2 linked regions of the Arabidopsis thaliana genome follow. The protein of the gene in region 2 interacts with the protein of the main gene of each other region in a pairwise test. Each region holds a gene or a part of one and is shown on either strand. Other genes may lie near its edges.

The links.
Region 1: the proteins of AT1G34640 (region 2) and PIN4 interact in a protein complementation assay, tested with the Arabidopsis thaliana proteins (one large-scale study listed by BioGRID).

What each region holds. Positions count from the first base shown.
Region 1 is NC_003071.7:176,872-186,656, forward strand, and holds PIN4 (Auxin efflux carrier family protein), read right to left. Parts: upstream 6,894-9,785; 5' UTR 6,329-6,893; coding exon 5,134-6,328; intron 4,977-5,133; coding exon 4,709-4,976; intron 4,570-4,708; coding exon 4,484-4,569; coding exon of another isoform or gene 4,473-4,483; exon of another isoform or gene 4,107-4,472; coding exon 3,949-4,106; intron 3,855-3,948; coding exon 3,778-3,854; intron 3,674-3,777; coding exon 3,607-3,673; 3' UTR 3,162-3,606; downstream 1-3,161. UniProt on the Arabidopsis thaliana protein: Acts as a component of the auxin efflux carrier. Plays a role in generating a sink for auxin into columella cells. Maintains the endogenous auxin gradient, which is essential for correct root patterning.
Region 2 is NC_003070.9:12,685,094-12,692,117, forward strand, and holds AT1G34640 (peptidase), read right to left. Parts: upstream 3,451-7,024; 5' UTR 3,335-3,450; coding exon 3,093-3,334; intron 2,704-3,092; coding exon 2,613-2,703; 3' UTR 2,459-2,612; downstream 1-2,458. Other genes in the region: AT1G34630 (uncharacterized protein), read left to right, coding at 224-510, 583-723, 838-1,065, 1,181-1,388, 1,514-1,650, 1,735-1,815, 1,909-1,975, 2,046-2,342.

The DNA.
Region 1 (9,785 bases), on a different chromosome or scaffold from region 2:
GACTTTATTATAAATTAGTTAAATTTGATTGATTGGGTCATTTTAGGCATATTGATAAATTTCCATTAATAAAAAGATGACATAGTTAACTTTTCGTAGTTAACTTTTCGTAACGTTTGGAAAATCTTGTATGAGGTATAAATCAGGTATGGTGAAAAATCAATTTTATACATACATATGAGGTATCGTTAAAAAGAAAAACTAGTACAATGTATGGTGAAAAAGCTTGTAAAGTATCTTTCTAAATACATATAAGGTATTGTTATAAACCCAAACGTAACGGAAAATTAATAAAGTAAGTGATTTAGCCTCCTAGAAAAATACAGTACATGATGGAACACATCATGCTTTGAGGTGGTACGAGAGCCATTGATACCGCGACCAAGCCCGGTCATGACCTAGAGGCGAAGCCCATCAAGTGCTTTAGGCAGCAAATATATTTAAGTTTTAAGAAGCTAAGCACGAAATTTTGAAAAAATCATATAATACAATGGTTATTTTTTCACCTTTTAACATTTTTTGTATTTGTTTTTAAAAAACCAATAATTTTTTGGACCGGTCCTCATCGCGACCAATCAAATAAGCTTATTCTGATAATGTGTTCTAGAAACGACTAAATCTTGCAATGAACCTATGAGCGAGATACATTATTATGCAGAAGATTGAATATAGTCAATCTATTCACCCCATAAGCTGATGAGTGATGACCCGGTAACAAACCCAGTAAAAAGTAAATACTAAGATTAAGCATTTTATACCTCAAAAATGTGAGACTAGTCTAATCTAATCTCAAGGAAAGTAATATTCTAAGGCTACAAATATTCTACTAAACAATAAAAACGTATGCACCTAAGTTTGCTTCTTTTTTCCCTTATTTACAAATCAAACTCATCTAACTTGAACGACATAAGTTCATCAGTTAACATTATACGTATGTGCATTAGAATGATAAATTAAAACAAACAAAAGTTCTATATACTAGACGATGTTATGGCCACCACACGAGACATATAAGGCTTTAGTACTTGGTGTTTTGTAGTTTGTATACACACGCATGGATTTGTTATCCATAAGACATTAAATTGGAAATGATAGATACGTACGTGAGATGTGAATCTTATGCATGTTATGCAATTTGGACCTTTGCATCTAAATGTAAGGAGAACGACCCTACGACTAGACCAGTGTTCGTGGTTCCTCATACATTGCCCATCACCTTTCTCTCTCAATACCCCCATTAATTCATCTTTATTGTTTTATTCGATTTATATCTTTATCGATTGTGCTTTTTGATTTTGTTTCAATCCATTAATTCAAAGCATTTCATCTCACAGATTAAAGAGTCATATTATTAGATACTACAACAAAGTAGACATACAACCCCGGAAGTATGGAAATTTGTTGATAGTTATGATTCCTATTAGTATCCACTCTAACCTCAAATATGAATTTTTGAAAATATGAAAGTTCAGAAAGTTCAGATTCGTCGATGGCACTAGCTCTAAACACTAAGAGCATCTCCAATGCTCAACTCTATTTTTTCCTCTATTTTTGAGTTGATTTTATTTTAGAGAAAATATAGTTGATTTTGCTGTATTGTATGCCTCTAAAATAGAGGAAAAATGTAGATATATTTTTCTCTATTTTAGAGAATTACAATGGAGCAAAATCAACTATATTTCCTCTAAAATAGAGTTAGTCATTGAGAATGGTCTAAGTAATTCTGAGTGAAACGTGACGTCTATGGGTAAAATATTCTTGATTTGATTAGTAAATTTATCGAAACAGTAACTAAGAGTTAACGATTTATAGTCACAATTAAATCAGTTAAAGGAATAGCCAGCTGCTACTTTCAAAGTGAATGCATGATCGAAGTTGTTCAGTTTTGAAGGAATGAAAAAAACTTTTTGGTGATATTATCGATACTATGTGGGAATATGATAAACACAATATTTTGACTGTTGATTAGTTCCACGAAAATATGATAAACTCAACATTTTGACTGTTGATTAGTTCCACGAAGATATACATGTTGATATAATCGAAAATGTGGTCCATGTTGTTATAATACTTTGATGCTCGAATTTTGATGTTCGAAACACACGTGGGAAGTTTTTCTTTTTCCATAAAAGTTTGAACTCTATAGGTTTAAAAATGTATAGTTCAAAACGAATCCTTTAGAATTTCCCAAAATAAAAGAACTCACAACTTCTATGGGCATATAGATAAGAATAAGAATATCGGGGCATGTGTGTAAACGAGTAACACAACAAGTTTTACTTGCAAAAGATATAATATGGCAACTTTTGTCGTCAAGTGAAATGCGTCGTCGCTTTCGGGCGAAGCCTGCATGTTGGTCCATCTTAGATTTTGCATTCCATTGAATTTTCTTCACATCCACTCTCCCATTAGTTTTGATGTTAGTTTCGGAATATTTGCTTTGTTTTCTATATAGTATATTGATGCCTCGTTAAATTACTACTTGTTGGATGAGTAATCATACCGTATTTGAATGACCAATCCTAATACGAAAATCAGATGATCAATTCATAACATTAAAAATGTTTGAAAAATGAGATTCACACTACTTTGACATTATAAAGACTACGTTTGATAGTCTCGGGACCATTTTTTCTATAAAGGGTGGTCTTTAGATTCATGTGCGGAAGTTCACAGAATTTGAAGTTAACATAAACTTTTTGAGATTTTTTTCTGCTAGAGATCGTGTATTCTTAAAAAAACGGGACCGTAAACATGCATCGTATGATCATAGGATTAATTAATTAGAGATTAGGATTTTGCTTCTGTCGTAAAACAGTGTTTGTTATCAAGGAATATGCTTAAATTAACTGTAATAAAATAAAATTACTGTCTTTTGAAACTTTTGCTTCTGACTGTTCAGACCTGATTTCTATCATTGACAATCAAGACGATTGACCGACATTCGCAGCGGAATTGGCATCCTATCGCTCCTTAGTTTGTTTTTTCCTTTCTTTCCGTATTAGATTTTTTTCTCGTAGTTTTAACACTCGAACTGATTGTTTAGCTAAAAAAGCTCGGGGTAGAAATAATATTTTCTCCTATGTAAGCATAATGGTTCATGAATGGCTCTCTCTAGCGGAGAATCTCTTCCCGATGAATTAATATTAATGGTATTTGTGGAAAAAATAAATCAGTACGAGGGTGTATATATATAGTATAGGACTATTTCAATCCAACTCATAAGCTAGTTTCAGTATAAACCACTTAACTAGAAACTTCAATTAATAAAAAAAGGTGCATATTACATATCTGCTTAGCCAAAATCTACACATAAATTAACAAAAACAGAAAATGAAAAAATAAAGGTAAGGAAGAGAGATTTTTTCTTCTTGGCGTCTAATGAAGACAAGATCCTTAATCCATTCAAGTCTTGTTCACTAAATCCTAAGTACTTTTGTTGTGTTCCACAAATATTGGAACCAAAAACCAAAGGCATATCTTCTTCTTCACCTTCCACTCTTTCCCACGAAAAATAAAGGCTTTGCTTATTTCCTCGTTACCGAGAAATAAATAGCCCAATCTCCGAGGCTCTCTCAAAAGCCAGTTGATACTGAAGGGACCAATTCAAAGGCCAAGAAGAATATAGTAGACCAGAGTTATAGGTAAGGCTATTAACATTCCAAATATGACCCTGCATCCATATTTTTCACCATCATTCACACATTTGTTAATATATTGTAAGTTTGTAACAAAAATAAAAATGTGGCTGTAACATAAAATAAGTTTGGAACTTACCCAGTGCTTAGAATCGTGGGATGCACATTGTACTCTTTTGCAAACACAAACGGAACTATTCCTTGAGGCAACGCAGCCTAATAATTCATGCATTCATCAACATCATCATCGTGATCATGTAATATTTATAATAGACCTAGCTATATCATGTAACGTTATAAATTTGTATACCTGAACGATGGCTATACGGAGAAGGTCGCCGTGTAAGCCAATGGCAATCCCAGCAACAGCCATGATGGCCGGACCGGTTATAAATCTGACCGCCATGGCAAACGTGGCGACAGAGTTCCCACAAGCAATGATTTTGGGTTGAAGTGCCATGAATAAACCTTAAAATTACACCAAAAATAAGCAATTCATTAACTAAAAGGATTTGAGAAAATTGACAGCAAAGAGTTAGGTCATCTACTTGGTGAGACCCAAATAAGTAGACAGAGCCAGTGGGGACTCGGCGTGGGGACCGGACACACCAACATGTCTGGGTCAGAGGGTCAGGATTCTCTCTTTGGGTAAGTGCTTTGTACAGTTTATATGACTTTTACCAATTACAAGCTGGACAACTACGACTAATTAAACACACAGACCCACTTTGCATTAAATGAATCTTTTTTAACAGATAAGATGAGAACAAATTTGAACCCAACTTTAAAGATTAGATCATCATCAAAACAAGTCTAGATTTGCATGAAGCAAGGTTAGTGTTTACCTAAGCTGAACATAGCCATTCCAAGACCAGCATCTGAGAGTATGGAGATGGATTGTTGTAATATTTTGGGCATAGCCACATGCCACCTGCTTCCAAAAACAACCCATACTCATTATTAGTTCCCACTACAATTATTCCATGCATAGATGATTATATTATTTCCTTTTCTTATTATAACATTTATCCATAAAATCTGTAAGTAAGAAAATGATTGGACTCACTGACCGGTAAGCAACAAGAGCCCATATGAGACCGATTAGACTGGAGTACGTGTTTGGGTTTCTGATCAGCTTTCTCCACACCATTATCAATATCAGTCGTGTCATCACACTTGTCGGCGGCATATGTGTTCCGTTGTTGCCGCCGCCATCTCCACCAGCCGCCTCTAGCTCCGCCGTGGAATTAGACCCCATTTTATTCAGCCCTGCTGTAGCTTTCTCTATCTCTCTTTCTCCCTCTCCACTATCAAGACCGCCGATATCATCACCACCACCTGAGAAAACCAAAAATCATGAATACATACAAAAATAATAGTATTCGAATAATAATAAAATTAAACCAACAAACCTCTAGCATATTATTTATGTAAACAATTTTCCGCAATTTTAGCTAAATAATATTTGATGACAAAAAAAAAAAAAAAAAAGAACCTCTAGCATTACTCTTTCGAGGTTGATCAGAGACAACCATCCGAATCTCCTTAGCACCTTGTTCAGATTGTTCCGTTGCCACGTTGTCGCCTGCACCTCCGCCAAACACGTCGGAGACCGGAGAAGCGCTTGAGCTCCAAACAAACATGTGAAGCTCCTTAGCGTCATGGCTCGCTTTGCTATCTTTCTCTTGCAGTTGCTGTTGGTTTTCTTTAGGAATTTTATTCGGTTTAGTTGAAACACCCGTACCGGTTGAAAACTCCGGGTTCGGAGCCGGGTACGAACCGGCCGCCGGAACAGAACTGTTAGTGTTATTGTAAAATCCATATTTAACGGCGTTGTTCTCTTCGAAGTTCGAAGGCCGTGGAGTCGGACCACGAGAAGATTGAACGGAGTACAAATCCGCCGGACCAAAATTCGAAAGCCTCCCGCCGGGAAACCCCATAACAGAGTAAAAATCAGAATGGTTAAAGTTAGAACCTCTCGGAGTCGAACTAAGACTATAGATCTCAGCTCCGGTAAGATTCGAAGGCCGTGGAGTCATCATCAGTGACCGTCTCGATGCGTTTGATTTCCTCACGGTAACATGAAGCTTCCCGTCGTTTCCTATCTCAGCATCCGTCTCAAGAAAATCATGACCGTCGAGAGAAACGACGTCGGATTCAACTTTAAACGAAACAATAGACGCACCAGTCTCCGGGAACTGCTCCATAATAAGAAGCTTAGCGCCACGGTACTCGAAGAGGAAGAGAAGGAGAGTGTACCAAATGATACACTGAAGAACAACGACTTGGACCATTAGAGAACCTGCGTAGGTTCCGTACATGGCGATCAACAGAGGGATCCCCATGACAAGAGTGTTTGGGAGAGTGCTGAGAGAGAAGATTGTGATCATCCACTCCAAGCTACCGTTCTTGGTTAGGTTAGCCCATAGAGCAAGTAAGACGAGCATGATGATTTTTTGAAGCGTGTCGGCGGCGACGAAGCGGAAATTCATGGCGTAAGGATCGTTGGTGGAGATGAAGTGGAAGGAGAGGAGAGGGACGGCGAAGATAGCGACGAAGCGGTTGATGCCGGAGCACTGGTCTGGTGAGAATATCTTCCACCACTGTACGGATCCGTAGGCGAGAATCATAGCTACGTAAAGTGGTACCACGGCGGTGAGGACGGTGTACAAGTCGTGCCACGTAATCATTTTTTCCGGTGGGTTTTGGAGTTTAGTGAGAAGACAGTGGCATTTGAGGGGGAATTAGAAGGAAGAAGAGGGGTAGAATGGGAAGAATAATAAAGAAACCGTTAAGAGAGAAAAGTACAGTAATGATTTACAAGGATTCGGTGAAGAGGACTAATTTATAGAGGTTTTTGAGGCAGTGACAGTGTCATCATCATCATCAGCACACGATTACGTTTTTTAAGTTTGATTAATAATTTGATTTAAAATGGCTTTGTGTGTAGTTGAGTGGGGACACGTGGCAAATCGCATGTGGGGGGAGTTTTCTGGAGGGACGTGGACAGTTTTATGGAATAGTCGTGCTTTTTTGCTACTATCTTATTACGAAAAAGTGGTCTTGTTTTTGCACTTTTTGAAAGTTGCAAAAGGAACTTTGGCGAATACTACGAATTACTGTATCTGTGATCGTTTTTCTTGTAAATGTAATTTGAGTTTTGATTCCAAATAGAATCAAACTATTGTCTACGTACTTGGTACAAGAAGACAGCCACATAAAAATTACAAGAAGAACAAATGTCATTAGTGTTAGGTCCAAGCCACTGTTGGACCGTTGAATTAATTACACACATTTATTCCCTTTTCAAAAATTCTCACTTGCTATGACTAGAATAATATTTTGTTTTTTGTTTTTGTTTTGTTAAACTTGTAAATATCATTAAAAATAAAATTTGAGGTATTACAAAAAAAATATTACTTATAGTTACTTATATTACAAAAAGTATTTACAAGCTCACATCTCGTCATTTTCTCACTCTTAAAATTTTACTCTCCCTTATCTCTAAAACTTCAGCCGCCGCCTGCGTTTAGGGTTACCGGTTCCGGTGGCTTTCTCAGCACCGGAACCGAAGTCTTTTGTTTTGCTCTTATTCTATCTTTTTTCTTTAGACACATCTGAGAGATTTTTTTCCAACGGTTGTGAATCTGAATTTTCAGATCTAGATATTTAAAGTCTAAAACTTTTTCTTTTTAGGTTTTTGCTGTTTGTCTTTTGTCTTTTTCAAGAACAGAGTCAGATCTGGCCGATCCATCCAAGGCAGAAGCGTTTCTATCCAAATTTTCGCCTCAGACTTCTGAAATTCCACCTGAAGATCCCGATCTCGTTCTCTCCTTCATGAGGCTCTCACTCCTTTGGGTCTCTGGATGATGGTTTTATCTCATCGCCCATTCGTGTTTAGGTTGAGTTAAGTGAGGCTTCTAGTCTCAGATCTATCAGTTTATCATTGTTGTTTTAGACTTTGTATATTTCGTTTGAACTCTTGGATTTTGGGTCTGGGAAGTACTTGATCAGATGTGATGTAATTTGTTAGATCGGTTTTTTTCCCCTTTGTTTCATTTAAATATGTTTTTAGTTCCTGGAAGGTCCCATGTACTCTCCGGCTTTTAGAAGAGTGTTTCTCTTGTCAGCTCTTGTACTCAGATCTTCTATCAATGAAATCTATATTTCCAGTGAAAAAAAAAATAGTTATAGATAGATGTTGGTCTGAGACTCTCCGACTCATTAGACCATCCTCATCGAATAATTTTTCATAGATGTATTTCATATAAAATAATATTAAAGGTATAGATGTCTTAAATGTTTTAGGAAGATATAATTTTCATTTTAATGACCCTCATATTTTTTATTTGTTTTACTCTTTTATATTTAAAAATAGCCATCTAAAAACACTCATAAAAATAACCAATGTGGATACTCTTAAATCAGTTTGGACATAACCAACAAAAAGGAAAGAATAAAGAAGTAGGTGGTCGCAAAATCACTAGGATTTGATAGATTCAAGCAGAAACTAAAAGGAGCGAGATTTCTGGGAAATATCAGAGAAGCAGACGAGGTCAAGTCCTATAAATCTGATGGAGAGTAATGTATAGAGGCATCAATTGTACACTAGAAAATCCCTAATATTACTTACTCATCTAGCTCTAAGAAGTAAGAACATCTCAGCGAAATCTTTGTAACTTTATTTCGGTATATAAAAGTCCAGTTTGATTCTTAAAATTGTGATCATGTTTGATTCGATGGAGGACTAGTTATGCGATCTTGCATCCACAATAGAGTAATATTGACCAGAAAGAAATTACAAACAAAGTTACAATAGTATGACATGGAAAAATACCAAATCCAAAGGATCATCAACGTTGGAATGTAAAAATTTTGATTTGTGTAACTCATAGTCATAGGATGTGTTCGAGGAGTGAATAATCTCCCATGCTTAATACTAGTATATATCTGGATGCGAAATTCGCAATTTTTTTATTTTTGTAGCGAAATGGTAAAAAGAGATTCAAAACATTCATCCAGCAATCACTTTAATTAATCCGAATGATTGCAAATGAAAATAGATTCTTTATTGAACACATATGTTTACAAAACAAGAATAGTATTTTTTTCTCATAAGCCTTCCGGAAAAAGTCTACTTCATCATAGAAAAATGAGAAAAATGATCAATGATCATCTATGAGATCAACGATCATAGATGGGATTTGTAACACAACAACACAATAACGGGTTTCATCAATTTTCAAGTCTACTTCATCATCCATCAAGACTTTGGTCTTTAAATATACAATGGAAGCAAATTAAAATGATCGTTCAAAAATCTTACAAACCAGGAAACATAGAAAAGTGAGAATGTGGAGATCAGTTCAATGATATTGTAACTATTGAAAAACGGTTTTTGATCGGCTTCACTATCTCCGAAGGCAACGTTCAACTTGTCTTCGAGCTCCCTGCAAGCCGTCTTGACCCGTGATCATTGATCTCAACATTTTCGATAAAATCAAACTTACATCGTAGCCGACTGAAGAAGTATGGCATCCGAATGAATTGGTAATAACAAATTATAGTTTTGTTTCTCTCCACAATATATATGTGTTATTGTAACAATGATTATTGCTTGGTAACCAAAATATATAGTCGTAAGAATATCATTCACATCTTTATCTACCAGACCTGTGATGTAGATAAACTTGCTCAAATTCAAAGGATCATGGATTAAGCACTTGAGTACTGTATATCATTTCCCGTCCAAGATCATATTATTATTATTCCGCCCGCATAAGACACTTCAATTATATGTCCAACCCAATCATGTCTGATCCATATATTTATTTTCTAGACAAATAGAGTTTGACCTAACACTACTTGATAGTTGATACGACCAATCAATAATCATGGGATATTGTTTAGGAGATTTGAGTATTTTCGGACGAGGGGGTATATTTGTTATAATTAACGACATATTTTCTAACACACACCTAATCACATGGCGAAGACTGAAGAAACGAGAGCACGAGTCACACTCACCATTAATCGTTTTTTTTGTTTGTTACATTAACTACAAATAAACTAGCATTCAAACACATATTATAGTATCAAGATTACGATGATATAAATAGAATTATAGACCCTTAGATAGAAACGTAT
Region 2 (7,024 bases):
AGGAAAAAAAAAAAATAACCGACACGTGTCAGTCACTCCTTGACAACTGGATAATTCTTAGTGGCCCTGTAAATCTAAAAATTTCGCTGTCTTCGTCACTCTCCCTAACTTCCTTTTTCTGGTTCTCTCTTTCTTCTTTCTATTTTATTCAAAAGCCAATTCCCAATTTCCCACCAAAGCATCACTTTGGCGCAATCCGAAGATTCTCGCCGCCGCCGTCGTCATGTCGCCGTCCGACGAATCGACGAACGGTTCTCGTTGCTCATCATGCATCTCCAGCGACAACGATGGCAACGATTTCGGTAAATCGGATGAGTTTACATGCAAACAATGCAAAAACTCCGATTCGAAATCGAAATCAAAATCGGTGAATGATTCGGATAAGCTTCGAAGAATCATCGTCGCTTCCGTCAAAGGATTCACTATAGGTACTGGTTTAAAAGGTGGTTTAGCTATTTTCTCAATCGTCGCTCGTTTCGCTCGTCGTCGTAGATCTTCTCCTCAATCTAGGTAACCGAAATCGATTTTTCAAATTTTCCGGTTTAGCTCATCTGATCTGAAATCTAATCGTAGTCGGTTTAGGAAAACCGGAGAGTTTTCGAATAGTGAAGCTATCGCTATGGGGATTAAGGAGACGTTAAGATATGGATTGTTCTTAGGAACTTTTGCTGGGACTTTTGTTTCTGTAGATGAAGCTATTGCTGCTTTAGCAGGAGACAAGAGGCATGTTTGTCCCCACTAATCTTGTAACTTTTATTTTGTGATTTAAACCCAAAAATAGTGAAGTATCAATTTCTTCAGATTTGATCACTGTGAAGTAATTTAATCTGAATCCAGAACTGCAAAATGGAGGGCCCTGTTTGCTGGATTGGTGGCTGGACCATCTATGCTTCTCACAGGGCCAAATACGCAACATACGAGTTTGGCTGTTTATATATTGATGCGTGCTGCGGTTCTCGCATCGCGTTGCGGTATTAAAAGTAAACGCTTTGGTACCATTTGCAAGCCACTTACTTGGAAACATGGAGATTTATTCCTCATGTGTCTCTCTTCCTCACAGATTTTGTATGCTTTCTCTTTCTCTCTACAAAGATATTAAATTTTGTGGTTCAGCTAGTTGTTACTAGGTTCTTGGTTGTTATTAGATTCTTAGATTAGCGATTTTGTGTTTTTTTTTCAGGTCTGCTTACATTTTGAAACAAGAAAGCCTTCCTTCATCGTACAAGTCTTTCCTTAACAAACAAGGTGGGAAGGATCTTTCAATCTTACAAGGCGTAAAAGATATCGCAACCGCGCAACCGTTCACTAATTTAAGAGCGATTGAGAAATATTACAAGTCTGTTGGAGTTGATATCAAACTGGATCCTACCATGAAAGTCCCCTGTACGGTAAGTTTTCTATGATACTATCTTTTTTGGGTTGTTAAGACGAACAAAGCATTTGTCGATAGTTGATGTATCGTCAATGAGTCTGCATGCATGGTTTTACGCAATACTTATGTTGTTACTTGCAGATAATACATGGAAATGAGTCATGTGTTAAGCATGGTGTTACATTTTTCCTTCAAGCTTACAAGAGGGCGTTACCTGTCTATGTCCCTGTGTATTTGATTCCAGCGCTAATAGTCCATCGTCAAGACCTGCTAAAAAAGTAATAGGTTTATGTCTAAACTGCTCATTGAATGGTATATATCCTCTGATTTTATTCATCACCTCATAATATGTTTCATCACAGGCAATACTCTATACTTGGCAAGGGTCTTCTGGGCACAGCGAGATCAAGTTTGTTTCTCGCTACTTACTGCTCTTCTGCCTGGTTAGAATCAATTCTTGGAAGGCTCTTATCGATTTTTGTTTTGTTCTCACTTGAAGTTGGAACTTAGACCATCTCTATAATGATGTAAAATAGGGCTTGGACTTGTCTACTATTCCGCACTTTTGAGACATGCAACATACCGCTTGTGGCCATAGCAACAGTACAAACGAAAGCCATTCTCATCACATATCATTGTTAATATAATACCTAACGTTAGGCTTCTCCTGCAGTTCCCAACAGGTCTGGCTTTAGCTATTGAGAAGAAAAGCAGAAGGATAGAGATATCACTATACTGCTTAGCGAGGGCGATAGAGAGCTTCTTTACTTGCATGACAGAGGCAGGATACATTCGACCGCCCAAGAGTTTAAGAAGAGCGGATGTGGTTGTGTTCAGCGTTTCGACAGCCATTATAATGCATTGTTACGCACAAGAAAGAGACGTATTTCGATCAAAATACTTGAACGTACTAGATTGGGTCTTCGGTGTTCCTCCTCCCCCTCCTGCTCCTTCTTGCGAAACAACCTAGAGACATTCACTTTTAACCTAAAGATCTTTCTGATGTGGGACAGAATTTGGTGGTAGAATGCTCATTTAGAGTCTCTAGGAGTTTTGTTTTGGGTCAATTTTGTATACCACAATCCATTTGACAATTTTTGTCCATCTTATGTGGACACACCAATATGTAATCTGGTAGTCTTACATGTTCTACAAAGTTAAAATAAAACGAAGCTAAATATTTTGTTAATCAACAACACTAAACCATAAAAAAGATGGACCAAGTAAATACAATATGGCTTCAATAATTTGATACGAACATCCACCACCTATACACTGCATATCCATAGACCGTGCCGTATAAAACCATCCTCATAGGGTACACTCTAAACCTGCATTACTTGGTCCAAAGATGTATCCATTATCCATTAATTAGGCCAGTAAACCAAACCAAAATTTGGATCTAACAATTAAAATCAATAGAAAATATTCACGAAAATAAACAAATTCAATCATAACTTGTACACCTAATTCGTAGATATACAATAATACATACATTGCAAATGGAACCTAACATTGTATGTATGGTTTGAGATTCGCTCTTTTGAATCCAAATTAATATCGGTTGACAAAAAAAAAATTGTATGTATGATTTATGTTTATCCAATAGGTTTTAAGGCAATAAAGCTAAACCAAAATTTAGATCTAATAATTCAAAGATTAATATATAATGATATGATAAAACAACTAGTTTGATATTGAGATAAGATAAACAAGTAACCTTGAAGGATGAGATTTGCGGGCGAGAGCGGCTGATCTTTCCTCGGCGGTGACAGGATAGCCCCACCGAGAGAAACTCCGATCAAAGAAGTCCCAATCCGGCAAAAGTATGCCGCCAATAAGAGAAATACCGACGGCGTAAGTAACAACCGTCTTCTTTAAAGACTGTGTCCATAACCATACAACTACCATCACCACTGCAAGACCTACCATTGATGATCTTAGTGCTGCTTCGTTTCCCATTATGGCTAAGAGAGAGTAGATAGCTTATATTTAAAACGGGATTAGTTGAAGTTGCTTTATAACAGTGTAAACATGGAAAGAAGATTCACAGATTATGTAGGATGTAGGAGAAAGATTTCATTTATGTGTTAAAGATAATATTTAATGGATTTTTTTATATAGGGTATATTCTTTTGGAAAAATGCGTGGCAATCAATTGAATTGAATGCCGCCATAAATGTGGTAATGTCCCAACCGTATTTTTGGATCCAAGTTTTTGTGTTTGTTCAGTTTTATCTTTATTTATGGTTTTGATCATAGAGTAATTAGAATTATACCGAAAAATTAGGAAAAAAAAGATAAATTTTGGAATGACAAGAAGGAATTCACAAACTTTTCTTTATTTTTAATTTTTTGTAGTGTAAATGTAAAAACGGATAATTTGGTATGAAAGAATTATACCGAATTGCATCATACCATATATATAAACAATATCTCTCGGATTAACTCTTTGAATTCTAATTAATATCGGTTGCCAAAAAAAATTTGTAGAATAAAATGACATAATCATCAAGCGGGACAGAAATTATTTTTAACTTTCACAAGCATAAGATTATATGAGTACGTTGTACTTTAAACATAAGACAACAAAAAAATCTTATCATATTTTTGAGGTAAAAAAAATTATAAAATTGACCAAACAATGTGTTATACATATGAAATTTACTATTTATTATTTATTTGTTATCTCATTTAATATTATGTTATAATTTTAAATTGATAAACTTAAATTTTGAATCCTCAATATTTAATTAACTTTACCAATCAAACTCTACATCTACAACCAACACATGTAATCATACAACAAAAAGTTTATAGCTACTGCCGAACAACAGTAAAAAGGAAAGTTACTACTCAACCAAACACCCACATAATTGGTTACTAACATAAATTTTGTTTTGATAGTTGGCATCGTTAGTAATAACCTCAAACTTTTCTTTTCTTTTCGCCAAAAAGTAATAACCTCAAACTACGAATGTCGTTTTGTAAATGAAGATTTCTAATTTTTTCCTATAAATGTGAAAACAAAGTAAATACTCTTTTTCATTGATAGTATATTAGTATCTAAAGCATTAATCTTACAAAGGTTGTTAGATCTATATAAATTCAGAAACAATTTTTTAAAATCCGAAGCCACAAAACTACGCATTGACAAAGGACAAGTTTAAGTCCCTTGGTAGAAACAAATGACGTCGACTATTTCTATTGTTAAATAGCGACGAGATTAAGCCCTCATATATATGCGGCTAAATAGCAACACCATGTTTCTTTTACACATGTTTTTCTATGAACTTGCTACAAAAGTTCATGAGAAAGTGTGGTCACATCTTAATAATATCTATTCCTCGGTAACTATTTTAGTCTATATCTACTAACCAATATTTGAATATTTTCTCAGTAACAAAGTAAAATATAATACTGATTCCCCCAATGGTACTGTGATGCCACATTGCTAAACACTCAATTAAGTTTGGTTTTGATACCCCTTATAACATCATGATCGCCAATGTTTATTTACCATCAATTACAGTTTTGACCTACAAATCTCATCCTCGTTATTCGACCAGTGCACTTCTACATGTAAGGTTGATAGACTTGTTTACTAGTCTTGTTGATCATCACAAGATATTTTTATGTGTTTTGTGAATTCTTGCACAATACTAAAAATCACAATCTTTATATTGCTTCGCGTGTGGGATCAAACCTAACGATAAGATCAAGAAATTTGTTCCAAACCTCTCGTAAAGACACAAACAAGACACAATGAGAACTCTGGAAGCTCTACACTAGCTAGGAATCTGAGTTTGTAAGAACAACAGATCATCATATTTTTTGAAAATCATTTAAGTCGACTAGACCTGGGTAATAATATCACTTAATCCCTTCTCAATTATTTTGGATGCATCTTCAACATTTTGTTTTTGATAAATTCGAATCATATATGCAGAAAAAACAATTTAAATACAAATGATAAGATGATTTAGCTCTTAAAAATGACCAAAGAAACAAACAAAGATGAGAAGAAGAAATTTTGATTCTCATTATATCTTTTTAATTAAAAAATAAAATTTTATTTAGTAATGCATAATGTTTTACAAAAATATATTGGGTGGCTTTTAATTTTTGAGGAATACTGAGGAACTATCACCTAATTAATTTTGTATAAATAATTTATCAAGTAATTAAAAAACATTATTCTACGGAACCATTGAATATTTGAAATTTAGTATCTTTTATTTATTATTACTATATTTCCATTAAAATTTATTTTTTATTATACTCTAGATTTAAAGCTATATGTGTTATACATTAGCTCGTTATAAACATCGATGGTTGTGAATTTAAAATACTAAGCCAACACCTGCACAAGGTATGAGTATATTCATATAATTTGTTAGTTATAACAAATAACATCGATTGAATTAATTTGGTAAAACATATTTTGTATTTTATCGAATTATCATTTTAATGTATTTCTCTAACTCTCAAGTAAATAATTCATTCTATTTTTTAATGTTTTTAATTACATTAATAAACCTTATTTACAATTACTTACCTTTAAAACAATTGTTGTCTTTAAAGTATTTTTAAAATAAACGAAATTAAACTAGTGTCAATTTAGTATCTTATATAAATAAACCATAAATTCAACTAATATTTATTGTCACTAATCCTATATATATTATACTATATAAAACCATGAAATAAATTCTTATATCATATTATTTATGCATAAGTTTATACGACTTATACAACTAAATTTAAATAATTTAATTTATATACAAGTTTGATATACTTTGTACTTAATTAAAATAAATTTATTCAATTAATAAGTTAAAACATGTCAATTTGTATGCAAGAAAGAATTAATGCATGATTTTTAATTCTTAAATTAATTAATAAATATAATTAAGGGTATATGCACTAGATGACTATGAAATTCATAATATTATAGAAACTAACCATGGGCGTATAGTACCTGTCGGAAACCAACTTTAAATTACTCTCATATCCCTATAATAGAGTTTTGGTTGAAGGGACAAATAGCTTTATAGGCAAATAGTTTTACCACTAAAGCTTCCATAACCTCCTCATCCCTTACAACAATAACCACCACTAGATCCGTAACACCACCGCCTCCTCCGTATTTAGTATTACTAGATCTGTAAATACTACCGCCTCCGTATTCACCACCATCATATCCATAACACCACCGCCTCTTCCCTATTCATCACCACCGCCGTTTACTTTTGTTGACATGTATTTTTATTCTAAAACATTGTATTTTTCAAAGTTTCTTTTAAATAATACTTGTTCTTTACTAAAATTACAATGATCCGTGTGTCTCAATTCAAACGATAGCATGTAATTTTTGAATAATTCATGCTATTTTTCTATTTGATATGTATATTTTCCTAAAACGTTTGTATTTTTTGATAAGATAATATTTTTTTAAAGATAATGTGCATTTTACTAATAATCCATATTTTTACTAAAATCACAAGTAAGTTACTGATTCATGATTCATGTTTTTTTTATAATCACATGCAAATTTGTACAATCACATGTAATCTATAAATAACACATATGTGGTTTGCTTATCTCTGTTGAAACCCATTTACCATATTGTCAAAACAATAAACCTACGTT